Linked DNA regions of Drosophila melanogaster. The protein of the gene in region 1 interacts with the protein of each later gene in a pairwise test. Each region holds a gene or a part of one and is shown on either strand. Other genes may lie near its edges.

The links.
Region 2: the proteins of obst-A (region 1) and Naa20B interact in a two-hybrid assay, tested with the Drosophila melanogaster proteins (one large-scale study listed by BioGRID).
Region 3: the proteins of obst-A (region 1) and CG43386 interact in a two-hybrid assay, tested with the Drosophila melanogaster proteins (one large-scale study listed by BioGRID).

What each region holds. Positions count from the first base shown.
Region 1 is NC_004354.4:20,238,087-20,243,752, forward strand, and holds obst-A (obstructor-A), read left to right. Parts: upstream 1-1,768; 5' UTR 1,769-1,891; coding exon 1,892-1,940; intron 1,941-2,975; coding exon 2,976-3,179; intron 3,180-3,524; coding exon 3,525-3,728; intron 3,729-3,798; coding exon 3,799-4,055; 3' UTR 4,056-5,123; downstream 5,124-5,666.
Region 2 is NT_033779.5:13,255,823-13,259,187, reverse strand, and holds Naa20B (N(alpha)-acetyltransferase 20 B), read right to left. Parts: upstream 1,712-3,365; 5' UTR 1,509-1,711; coding exon 894-1,508; 3' UTR 544-893; downstream 1-543. Other genes in the region: CG31730 (uncharacterized protein), read left to right, coding at 1-41; l(2)k05911 (lethal (2) k05911), read right to left, coding at 1,844-1,999, 2,057-2,353, 2,432-2,567, 2,624-3,365.
Region 3 is NC_004354.4:9,974,363-9,978,979, forward strand, and holds the start of CG43386 (uncharacterized protein), read right to left. Parts: upstream 3,044-4,617; 5' UTR 2,797-3,043; intron 1-2,796. Other genes in the region: CG15252 (uncharacterized protein), read right to left, coding at 3,843-4,232, 4,358-4,417, 4,484-4,617.

The sequences.
Region 1 (5,666 bases):
CGGAGCGGATCGATCGCATCTCCCAAGGACAGCGGCTTTTGGGTCATTGCGTGGCCGCTTAGCATATTTATGCATATATTATGTACATATATTACCGGCATGCTCCGCCGCTTGGCCGCTGGAAGCATCGGGATGACACAGTTTTCCATCCCATGGGCGTAGCTCCTCGGAAATGGCTACACCAAACCAACCCCCCCCCCTCCCCTCCCCCACCAATCACCTGTAGACCAGTTCCCAAGCAGGCAAAACTAGAAATTCTATATTGTATCAGGCATTTCATTGGATTCCTATGGATCACCATGTTTCTAATAGATATACAACATTCAATTTGTAAGATACATTTATTACATTAGTACTTGCTCTTGTTAATTTCATCATATTTTAATATTTCTAAATGATAGTTTATAAAAATGTGCTCTTATTTCAATTATACATATATAATGTATATTATCTTACCTTATTTTACCAAAAGTAATAATGCTAAATTTTTGATTTGCGGGAGTGGCGTTTAAGACATTACCTTCCAACTAATTGGGTGTGTTACTCATTACCAAGTCTTTCATCCGTCCGTCTGCATATATGCAATGTATATATAGTATAATTTAAAGATACAGATCCAGACCGAAACTACGCCCATGGCGTGTCCTCTTCAGCCTTGAAGTCTCAATTTTTGGCTGGCACTTTGGACGAAAGGACGGTCTTCCAACTCCAACTCGTCGCCAAATGGATGGTACCTGTTTGGCTGGCCTTTTGGTCGATCGATGTAAGCCATTTGCATGCGGACCATCAACCCGGCCAACTCAATTCGAGCCAACTGAATTCGGGGATCGTTGACGCATATGAATTTATTTACGTTCATTTTCGTGTGTGTGTGTGTGTTGCTTTTTTGGTCACATCGACACACTGATCGCAGGGAACGCATACCCTACTCGAACCGCATCCATCGGTCGCTCGATCGCATTTGGTTATTTGACGGTCAATACCCGGAAATGTGCAGCTGACCAGATGGCTTACAAGCTGGAATTTTGTATTTTTGCACAGGGTCAACTATTTATTACTCTATATGCCTAAGAACCACCCATTTTTAGCATATAATTTTATTTTTAAGCGAAACAATTGAATTGAAACGCTAATGGAAATCAATTTAACATCTTCTCTACCTGCATAAATGACCGCTAGATGGCTCTGCAGATCAAGATCACTAAAGAATTTGCGGCATTAAAACTGTAATTATACGATAAATAACATTGTTTTTCTTTTTTTTTAATAGCCTTTGAGTATTCTTAAGAGTTCGCTTACAAATACATAGAAGCATTTCCTAATTCTTCCAAGATTTCGATGTAATCTCCAAGTCATCTGATACAGGTGACGCCTTCAACACAGTTGATCAATGCGCGGCCTGAAGAATTCGCGTGGTGCACATTAAGCTAGGGCATCTGGCCAGCGGTTTTCCGGTCCTCGCCCCTGGACTTTCTTGTTTTTGTGCCATTACATCTCTGGCTCGCCTTTCTTCGTCGCCTTTGGAGCCCCGGCTCCATTCCATTCCCATATCCAGTCCAGCTCCAGCCGCAGCTCGTTTGGCCTGGCTCGGTTTCGTGTGGTAGTAGTAGTAGTAGTGGTGGTGGTGGTGGTGGTGATGGTAGTGGCAGTGGCAGTGGCGGGGGCGGTAGTGGCCCCGCCCATTGGCATCACTCTGCCGCAGCCGACGGCGTCGTCGCGTCGTCGGCGACGTCGAGCAGAGCCGGTAAAAAGTCTTGAAAAGTGCGCCTCTTTGGCGTTCCGTTGTTAGTTTAGTTTAACCATCGCAGCGCTTGAGTCGCGATTAGTTGCTCAAGTATCCAGTTGCCAGGATCGTTGCTCTGCTTTTTTTTTCTCAGACCCCGAGTCCAAAATGAAGTTATTTTTATGTGCCATTGCTGTGACCCTGTGTGTGGCGACAAGTGAGTGTGAATCAATGGATCCGTGGGAATGGATCAATGGATCGTTCAATGGATCAGTGGTGCCCAGTTCAAGTGACTGACGACTGACTGGCCAGTGCCAGCCCATCCGCCAAGTCAGAGTCGCAAATTGTTGCTAATTACTTTGACACTGACACCGAAATCAAGACTCGATCTCGATCTGCTGCCGCTGTGTGTTTTGGCCAGCTAAGTAGCTAAGTAGCTAAGAGCTAAGAGCCATAAGTAGCTAATCATATTTAGCCGTCTCGCAAGACTGGGCCTCAGACGCAAATGTTGAATCTGGTCGCGATTGCGGATCTACAGGCCACATGCAGATCGAGATGGAGGGCCGTTTTCCGTCTGGAAAAACTGGAATGCTGGCCAAGCCCAAGATGCTGTCTGGCTGTCTGGGCCGCTGGGGTTATGCAACTCATGCAGTTTGTTGGCCAAGTGGAAAACGGCTCTTCTGGGCCGCAAGAGAAGTGCATTGAACCCGGACCGAACGTCGTAATCTTGGCATTATGCTGAGTATGAAGCCTTCTCTGACATTTAAATTTCGACATTTCGAATCACTTACCGGTGTGTTACGGAAATCCAAAGAATTCGCGTAGTTTGAATTCCCAATTTCGGTTGTAGAAGATATTGTCAGCATAGCGAATGCAAAGGTGTATAGAAGTATGCAGTGATTTTCGCATTGTATACATTTTTTATAGCTATCCTTTAGGCGCCCAAGTAAGAGATTTCACATTGGTTGAGTAAATAGTACTAACCTATATCTAGCTTACCGAAGTCAGTGGGATTCTGGTCAAATGTATCAAGCGATAGCAACCTGTTCCAATGGAAAACCACTGATCATTTCTTGGGCCACCGGGAGTGGTGGCAACCAGGAAACCGCAAATGCGGAATTGCCATCGGTAATCGAACGTCGTTCGATCTGTTACACTTTCGAGTGCGACTGGGGGTCGCCAGGAAAGTGAAAGTGGGAAAACCAGTTGACTGAAGTGCTTGTTTCTTTCCTTTGTTTTACCCCAACACCAGCCGTGTCCGCCGCCAACTTCGAGTGCCCGAAGCCCAATGGCCAGTTCGCCGATGAGGTGCAGTGCGACAAGTTCTACGTCTGCGACGACGGAGTGGCCAAGGCGAAGCTCTGTCCCGATGGCCTGGTCTTCGATCCACTCAACCGCAAGTTCAACAAGTGCGACCAGCCCTTCAATGTGGACTGCGAGGACCGCACTGAGCTCCGTAAGTAGCCCATCCCATCACCATTTCTATTTCTAGGCTATTGTTACCGACCCCTTGGGAATGGTCACGAAAACTATGTCAAGGCAGAGCGCTAAACAGGTTATTCCAATTACATCATTACATCACCATTAACTATGTAGGGAGTTAAATTTAAATTCGCCTCTTAAGTTCAAATTTAGCTTACTAATGAAAGCATCAGTTGAAAGGATGAATTTGTAGCATACTTTTGGACATCTCTATATTTAAAGCAAATACACCACTACAATGAGCTATCCAAAAGTTATGTAGTTGTGTAGCTCCTTTGGTAGACGGAGGAACTAACCCTGTTCGGTTTCCCCTTCACAGAGGAGCCGAAGTCCAGCAAGTACTGCCCGCGCAAGAACGGCTTCTTCGCGCATCCCGATCCCGCCGTGTGCAACATCTTCTACAACTGCATCGAAGGCGACGCCCTGGAGACCAAGTGCACCGTCGGCCTCCACTTCGACGAGTACTCGGGCACCTGCGTGTGGCCGGATACCGCTAAGCGCGAGGGCTGCAATCCGGAGCAGAGTAAGTGGACCGATTGAGTCGCCGTGCGGCGGAGTGGGCTAATGGTCTGGCATGTGGTGTGTACTTTCAGGAACCTCCGAGACCGGCTTCGTGTGCCCCAAGGATCAGCCAAAGACCGACGATCGCGGCCAGGTGGTGACCCACCCCAAGTATCCGCATCCCACCGACTGCCAGAAGTTCTACGTGTGCCTGAACGGCGAGGATCCCAGGGATCTGGGCTGCCAGCTGGGCGAGGTCTACAACGATGCCACCGAGATGTGCGATGCTCCCGAGAATGTGCCCGGCTGCGAGGACTGGTACAAGGATGTGGACGACAAGAAGGACTAAGCCACTTCCGGTCGCTTCTACTTCTCCTCATCACATCCACACTCACAACTCATGCACATGCACACGCACACACAAGCACACTGAAAGAAATTATCAATCAAATCAAATCGAAACAATTCGAAACAAATCAACACACAGATTCGCGTCTTAGTCACTTAAATTTAGTAGTTCTAGCCCATTTCCTATAGAGCGTATGTGTAGCAGTTAAACTTCAATACTCTGACCTATCTATTTCTTAACTATCTTTCTCTATATCTGACTACTTCTAACTACTTTTCTAACTACCCAAATCTCCATTTCTGTGCCCAACCAAACGCTGCCAAATTGTTGTGTATATATTTCCCGCTTTCAGACTTTCGCCTTATTATTATACAAAAAGAATAAACTGAATTTTTTATAAACTATCTATATCTATCTATCTACTATAAACTATCTTCCCAATCCCAAGACTACTACTATTCCATATACTGTTTCAGCTATCCTATGTGATCTTCGCCTAAAATTTCAATTTCCCTCATCTCTACGTTACTCTACTTAACTTCTTATCATATTCCAAAACCAATTTTCTGTCTATAAGGAAACCCACTCTTTACAAACTTTTGTCCTCCTAAAATTTTCAAACTTGAATCTTTTCCGTTCTCTTTTCTTGATTTCTTTCTTTCTATCTTTAAAATTTCAATTTAGTTCGTGTTTTATTGTTTTGCGAACTGTTACGCTACAGTTTATTATTCCTAAAATGCTCCTTTTTTAAGCATTTCAATCCTGTAATCTTGTATTTCACTTCTACCTCAAGTTTCAAATCTAAATCTTTTCTATACATTCTATCTTCCTCATAAATATTTCCTTGTATTTCGATTATACCTACTGTATAAATACTCTTTTAGACTATGCTATATGTTATTTATTAATAAACATCTTGACTTGCCTGCAAAATCCAAACGATAAGAAATTTTCACGTACCTTATTTAAGTAATCATTCAACCGACTGTAAACCCATGACACCCAAACTCACTTCCCATTCTCCGATCTTTCTCGAATTAAAAAAAACTATGTATTTCGAATCTATACAAAACTAGTGTGCATCTCGTGGGGAAATAGCAAAAAAAGGGAGGGGGGGGGGGGGGGGTTGAGTGGTCGATTGACCAATCAATCAAACCTTTCACTCCACACGCAATATCGGATAATCGCCGTGGACGGGCGGGATCGGTGCATCCATTATCCATCATAGCCCTTTGTCCCTCCATCGGTTGCAAAGAGTCTTTAATTGGCCGAGTGGCCAAGCGGACCGCACATTTACACATGTAAATGAACACAAAAAGCAGGCAAGAGTGCTTATGCAATCGCCGCAGCACGAGCAAAGCAAAGCAAAAGCAAAAGTTTTGCAATAGTTAACAATGTAACGGCAATCGGCAAACGGGGCCCAATCATGAATGAAGCTTATGGTCTGCGCGAGCTTTGCCTTTTACTTTCAATCACACATGTTGCCAGAGAAGCTCGATTTCCGCCTTGGCGTGTTTTTCTTTTTCAAGCCAGGAAATGGACCCGAACTAGCTAGGAAACTAGCTAAATCATTGGCAGTGTGGAGCGAAAGCGACCTTGTGCACAGCGTGG
Region 2 (3,365 bases), on another chromosome or scaffold:
AATTGAGAAAGTACGTTCCCCGCCCCATGGAGGTTCAATGAGCAGTGCAACCGCGTTGCCTTCAGATTAAATTAAAAGTTTTTTTTTGGATTACATAGCTAATTAAAGAAAATCCATTGAGGTGAATTTTTAGAGGAAGATCAATTTCCGTTGACGCACAAAGGCCAACTATAGGTAGAAATACAGATAAATGCTAACTAGGGTGGACCTCAGTCGTATAAAGAGTGGCCCTTTAGGTCATCATTCATACGCAATGTTGCCAGTGGAATCTCATCAAATGATATAAAAGCTAAATAACAAACAAATGAAGAGATTAGTGCTTGTTTTTAAAATCGTTTACTTTAGAATTTATAAAAAGTCTTGCTTTGAATCCTCAACGTTAAGGTCCACTCTAATGTTGGCAATGCATATACATATATATGTTCTTTAACCGAAACGCATTGATGTTCGTGTCGTTTGCCAAACCAAATTCAATTGCAAATTTCCGTTTCGAGATGGTCAAGGCTTTCGTTGTTGTCTTTTTTATTAGCTACATTTCTCAAAAGCAAACAAATTAGAAAATTTATACATATATAAATATAAAGTGTAGTCTGGTTGGGGCATGTGTCTGAAACACGCGCAATGATTTTCACAATTTGCCATTTTGCGCAACTTGAAACGCACAGCATTTGAAAATTCTGGTTCAATGTTGTCATATAAACAAATCTTGTTTCCATATGCTTTCTGACATACATATTCTGGTCTTCATTTTTTACTTTGAGCGATTTGTTCAAACTTTTAGTTGAACGATGGCGTCCGAGTGCAATGAACTTTTTCTGGACGTTTCCTAAGTGGTATAAATTATACGTTTTGATGCCAAATAAAGTTTAATAGTTTGGTTTTACTACAATTGCTTATTCAACCAATATTCCACCAATAACTATAGCTATAATTCCGAATATGTAAAACATCAGCAGATAGTACAACTTATTGCCAAAGCTGTAGATTTTCTTGATTATTATTCCCTCTAAGGATTTCCTATCCACATCGCTGGACAAAGGTAGTCTCATTTCGTATCCATGGTCGTCGGCATAAAACTTAGGTATCCAGCGATATTTCACATATCCCAAGGACTCGTAAAGCCCAATGGCAATTGTATTCTTCTCTCGCACAAATAGATCTATATAAAAGTCTTTCTGACGATCCATCATATCCCTAACGGTTGTTAAGAGCCGAGTGCCCAAGCCCAGTTTACGATAATCCTGAGCTACGGCCAGAGCAGAGATGTGTCCATGATTCCAGGTCATAGTCTTTGCATCTCCAAAAGATTCAGTCGCATCCTCGACGCGTGTCCCCAGAATGAAGCCCATGAGACTATTGTCAGGAGCATCGGCGGCAAGAACCAGTTCGGGATGCTCCAGAATCTTGGGAAGCAAGAATGGCAAGGAGTACACTTCCGCCAAGGGATCCATCACAATATTGTTAAACTTGAACAGATCTTCGAGAACAAACAATCTCGGAGAAGTCATGACTCGCTGGGATATAATAGGAATTTTTTTATCTTGTTCAATATTATGTTTACTTTGTTAATGTGACATATTTTTTTTCCTCAGTTACTACTTTGTACGCTAAACCAAAATATGTTTTAAAGATCTCGAAATCACCGATGAACTAACGAAAGAGATTTCAAATATTCAACTATTTCTTCGTATCGCAATTAAAGAAAAGAAAACTTGACGCAAAATCCCGGCATACTTTTAGGCTTTTCGAAAGTCTAGATCTACAATAATGTTGACATTTTATTAAATCGTTCGCTCTTAATATATTGCAGCATATCACGTCTTAGACTAATCGAAATCCTATGTTATTTAATGTTCTTGTAGATCCAGGGCAGCAGCGAAGTGACACGAGTGTAGACGCCAGGATATTGACCCTTGCCGCAACCAATGCCCCAGGACACGATTCCCACCTGGGTGTACCGTCCACCATCATTGATGACCATGGGTCCGCCAGAGTCGCCCTATAAATTAAATCAGTCTGAGAATCTTGATGATCACTTATATATATCATCACTTACACTGCAGGAATCTTTGGCTGCCTGACCAGCGCAAATCATCGACTCAATGATCCCACCAGGCGCTGCACGTCCATATTTCCTGGCACACTCGGCATTTGTCCAAATGGGAATATCCACCTTCTGCAGGATGGATGGCTGTGGCCCATTCTCCCGAAGACTTCCCCATCCGGCCACGGTGGCCACTTGGCCACTGTATGATCGGGATTGCTGCGAGGGCGAGGTGGGCAGGCAAATTGGTTGGATCTCCCTGGTGAAGGGCACTGGTTCACTCAACGTCAGTATGGCCACGTCGTTGTGCTGGGAAAGAGGATTATCATTTGAATATAATGATGGAAATCACTAGGTCTTTCAGAAACATAGATTGGATTCTCTTACCAAAGTGCTGAATTCGAAACCCTTGTGCCGCACAAGTCGTTTGATCCTGCGGGAAACATGCTGCACCTCGAAGTCCGTGCCGATGTTGTAGTCACCCAGATGGGCTGTTAAGGCCGCCACATCCCACGAGGTCATGCTGCAATAACCACAAGTTTTTAGGATATTCTAAAAGGACACAGTCTTATTCCTCACCGTGCCACACAGTGAGCTGCGGTCAGAATGTGACTATTGGTAATAAGACTGCCGCCGCAGAACTGCTTTCCCGACTTGAAGAGCACAGCGATCCAGGGAAATTCGTGTGGACTGGCATTGATGCCGCCAACGATCCGCTCCTGGTCGGGCGTCACTGGATTCTTATTGCCGCACTGCAGCGGAAGTCCTTCCGAACTAGTTCCGCTCACAGGACGTCTCGTAGTTGTCGTGGTTGTAACTGGCGAGGGATAACTAGGATAAGTGGGTCGCCTAGTGGTTGTCGGTCTGGCTGGGCTTGTGGGCCTTGGTGTGGTGCGCTTGGTGCTTGGAACTCCTCCTGTGGTGGGGTGCGTGGGATAATGGTGGTTCGGCGGATGGGTGGGCAGCGGTGGTGGCCAACCACCCGTTGTGGGTGGGTGAGTCGGTAGCGCTGGTGGCCACTGGCCGCCAGCAAAGGAACCGAAAGGCCACTGGTAGGGATGAATGGTAGACGCTGGTTGGGTGGAAATAGGCTGCTCCACCGGTTCCCCCACCGGTTCTGCTTCCGGTTTTTTATCTGCTCCTGGAGGATTACCCTCAATCGTGTTGATGTCCTGGAAATCCGGCGTATCCTCCACACTGTTCGCATTGTCAATGGGCTCTTCCGGTCGAGGAACATCCGGAGGATATACACCCTCCACTTCTCCCTCGGGAATCACATGTTCCCTATCCTCCTCATCAGCCACCACTGAAGGCATCTCCG
Region 3 (4,617 bases), about 10 Mb from region 1:
GGCATTGCCCAACTGGCGGGGGGGTTATGCAACGGTTGTCATTATGCATTATGCGCTGGCTGCTATTTTTTCTTTCTTTTTTTTTTGTGTGGTTTTGCTCAGTTTTGGGCCATGGCATTAATGTCACCTGCTCATCGCTGTTCTGGCCACAATGACTCCGCTAAGTGCACGCAGGAAAAACAGAGAAAAAAAAATTAATAATAAAATTAAAATGGAAAATAGATATAGTGAAACGGGTAACAGGTCTATTGGGCACCCCCTTGCTTAACGAGTAACCGTTTACACGCCGCAAGTTGGGAAGACGGTCATAACCATTACCCATTAACCAATTCATTTGGACCGAGAGTGCGGCTCGTTAACCAGATGGAGGAGAAGCCAGCACTCGATTCCGCATCCATTTCCATCTAATGTATTCAACTCCGCCGCAGCAATGGGCCTCTAATGAACTGCTGATGGCTTTGCGCAAGTGTTTTACGGCCAGTACATTTGACATTTGACCAAGGAAATGTTTTTAAGACTGGGATTACTTATTAATAAATATCTAAAATATGCCAAAATAAATATGTGCCAGGTATAGGCAAGATATAAAAAAAAGAGGTACCATATATCTTTAAAACCAATCACTAAGCAATAGAACGTCTTGCCAAAGAATTGATATTTTTGTTTTAAGAGATACGTTCAAATGACTTTTAGTTGTTGTGTGTAGACAATCTCTAAAAAGTTGCAATTAACTTAGCAAATCCCACGAAGATTTGCACCACATGTGTAATACTCTAATGGAAAAATAAAGTTAATTCGGTTTATATTAAGACCGTTTGTAAGCCAATCTTTCGCATCGAGTGCTTTTGCTTTGTACCCAATAGCCGGGTCGAATTTAATTGGAAAAGGCGTTGCCGACAGACTAAATAACTGACCACCATTCACTGAAAACTCAGTCTGAGAATTAGTATTAGAATCGGACAAACGAACTTTGTTCTTGGCCAGGCAAAAATGATTCGTTTGATTTTGCGCAAAGGTTGCCGGAGATTCAGATTCTGCTGTCATGTAGCGTTTATTTGTTTGTTCAGCCATTATTGTAATTATAGTATTAATAAATCTCGCCACTGGCGGCCGGCGAAGGTCGCCCCGTAATAATATCATTTTGGCATTAGATATTTTGAAAGGCATTTCAAATCTGATCACTTTGCTTAATTGCCGTGCAGAACTTAGTGCTGTTAAATGAGGCGTAAATTGGAAATCACTTCTAAGCTAAACGAAAATGCCAAAGGCTTATGAAATTGCCAAGCAAATAAAACTCAAGAGTATTAAACATATTTTATAATAGGCAAAAACACTCCGGTAATAACATAAACAGTCATTCGCCCAGACCCGCATCAACTTATAATTTACTGCCCAGGAAAAATATCATCATAAAAAATGTGTGAAAATTCGTATAATACAAGATCTGCGATACGGACTTTAACGCTCATAATTGAAACATAAAGCCACAACATATCGAGTGGTGGATAAGAAATTTCGAGATTTGCATATTAATCGGCCCGAAAAATATAAAAGGGTGCATTGTTTAACGGCCATAAGTTTCTACGCTTTTCGATATCGGGTTGCCACAATCGATTTGCATAACTCTCCCGAAACAACCGCACAATTTGGAGCGTCGCCTGGTCAATAAACTTATTGACCGACTTAGATATGACACCTGCATATATATCTTTTTGTTTATGAAGAGACGCAACCCCCCCCCCCCCGCCGGTTTGCCTTCGGCGGATTTCCAGCTCGACTGCTCCACTTTCATGGCGTTCACTTTCGCTTTTTTCCTCGTTTTCGATTTTATTTATTTATTTTTTATTTTGGCCCAGCTATCATCACTGAGTTTTGTTATTGCTTATGCCTTAGAGTTGATGGCTGATAGCTTTTAGCTTTTGGCCCAAAGCGCGTTGATGGCTAAACTGGCTGCTGTATCTTGGGCTAAGGCTTATCTGGCCAGAGCCATCGATTCGACGAACGACCTTGAGACCGTTACCGGTTTCTTTGGGCCAGGCCACTCTTGCATGGCCCAGACAAGTTGGTGATTTTTTTTGTTTTTTTTTTTAATTTTTGAGTGTCTTTTTAGCTCTGACTCTGGTTCATCCTCAATCATGACAGCGACCAGGGGTCAGGCCGAATATGAGTAGTAGGTTACCAGGTAGTTAACCCCGAAAATTCAAATGAAATGCGAATGAAATAGAGTAAAAAGGAAAGTTCCCTCAAATCACTTCCCTATAAAAACAAAAAACCTTTTTAAAATGTATGTAAAATTTGTAATTTATATAGCATTTTAAGTAGCACGTCAACCAGTAAATGTTGGACACCATCCATATAGCTTAATATAATCAACAATCAAATATGACACTGAACACAAAGCGTAAGTCATAGGAGAACAATAAAACTCTCCCTTTTTTCGGCTTACGATTGGTTAGGCTCTTGTTAATTGATTTATGAAGCAATTAACGCATTTGAATCTTCACTTTTGCATTGTTGACGTCGGCGCTGTTGCCAAATTTCGGTAGCCAAAGCGATTAATGGACGAACGCTAACCAATAGCGCCCCCCCCCTCTTCAATAACCCCCTCCATTAATAGCCCCCCGTAGTGTTGTTTGTTTTTGGAACAGACCTGACCTATGCCAGCATTTTCAGTTGAGGCTTAGCCCAGTTAGCAAGTTCGTTGCCTAAGTCTTTCGTTTTGACATACATTTTGAGCTGGGATTGTCGCTTATTTCCCTTTTTTTCGGCTTTCAGCCGCCTTATATACATACTCACCCGAAATATAATAAAATAAAAATGCGGCTTGCCAAACTTAATTGCAATGCGAACTCTCCGAAGCACCCAAATATATAATTGAGTTCATAAACAATTTCAAAATGCAAATAAACCAGCACAAACACTGAGCGCACAAGAAAAACACAAAACAATAAACACAACCTGAAGTTTTTCAAATTAAAAACGCGACAACTAAACGGCCCGCAAAATGTCACTTTGTCTTGTGAAAGATTCACGCATAACTGAAAACTGAAACTCGCCGCTAAAAAAATATTCAGCCCACTTCAAAAAAAAAAAAGAGAAAGACAGAATGAGAGAGAGAGAGAGAGAGCAGGCGGAAGAGAGAGAGCGAGAGAGTCAGAGAAAGCACCAGAAGTAAACAAGTAAAAGCATTTTAATGAAACCTGTAATCAGTAGAAAGTGACACAATGCCCGCTCCATTGGGCAAGCTACCAAGTAGTTGGCCCACGGAGAAAGGTTCAGGGAAAACTCTTGGGTCAAGAAGATCCAAAAATATTCGCTATTAGGCTATTGGGTTACAAAATATATATTAATTCTATCTTTTTAATTTAAATATTAGTTAATTAAGGTATTGCCAAATGTATTTAAAACTAATTTTTGAAGCGAAACTCCTGAGCCGAAATCCGTAGTTCATTCCCCTGTTCTACCTTCCACTGAACTTTAGTTTGAGGAAATGAACCCAAACAAGCTATTTCACCCCTCAACCTTTACTTAGTTTTTACTTCCGCTCATTGCGAGCTTTCGCTTTTTGCGTTTCCATCCAGTGATTTGCCCCACCGCATCCTTGGGGGAGTGGTTCATTGCAGTGGCTCCCACTGAATTCCATCGGATCTCTTGCATCAGCCGCTGTCCAAGCTGTTACGCCACTTGATTTAGAGCCCCTCTTTTACGCTTTCTTAGCTGCCCAAGTGACCAACAAGTCTTTCTCCTCACTTCTTTATTTATTTCGGTTACGAACTAGCAAAAAAAAAATGGGTTTAACACAAACGATTAACGTAACTATGATTATGTGATGACTAAGCTGGCTAGAATGGCTCATTATGGTAGGGGTTCCAAGATCTATGGTGATCTGCCGGCTTGGCATGATGACCCATGCTGCTGCTGGCGAAAATATTCTTGGCTGCACTCGAAGCTCCTCCAGCGGCTCCCAGACCGGCATTCAAAATCAATCCAAGGGCATTGCTCACCAGATGGGAGGCCACTTGCTTCACAAATCCTCCAGAATCAAAGTTATTTGCCGCCGCAGCTGCCCATCCACCGCCCTCCTTCTTCTTTCGCGGGCGTGGCAACTCCGCACTTCCGTGTCGCTCCTCTGAGCCGTCCTCTGAAATTGGTCGAAACTTTGCCTCCAGGAAGCTGGTGATCAGGTTCTTGGTGAAGGTCAATGGTTGCGGTGGGCCCTCCTCCTCGGGATCCTGTTAAAGATTGTAGAATGTTGTTTATTGCACTCGCTAAATAAATGACGTTCAGGGGTTAGTAACACAGTTATGAGGTTGGGATCTAGAAGGTAAATATATATATAAGCAAAATATATAAATACAGCGCTCAATGCGGCCAGCACAGTGCCCAAGAAGTTGCCTATAAACTGGCCATTGTTAATCTGGAAAAAATAATATATGCAAGTAAAATGACTGGAAATTCATGAAAATAGGTTTGAGGAACCCACCGCTCCACCACCTCCAGAGAGACCATCCAAAGCAGTGCCCACATATTGTCCCAACACGAGGCCAAAGTTCTTATTCCCGCCCAGAAGACCAGAGATCAGCGAGGTTCCCGTTTGAATCAGACCTTGCACATCTA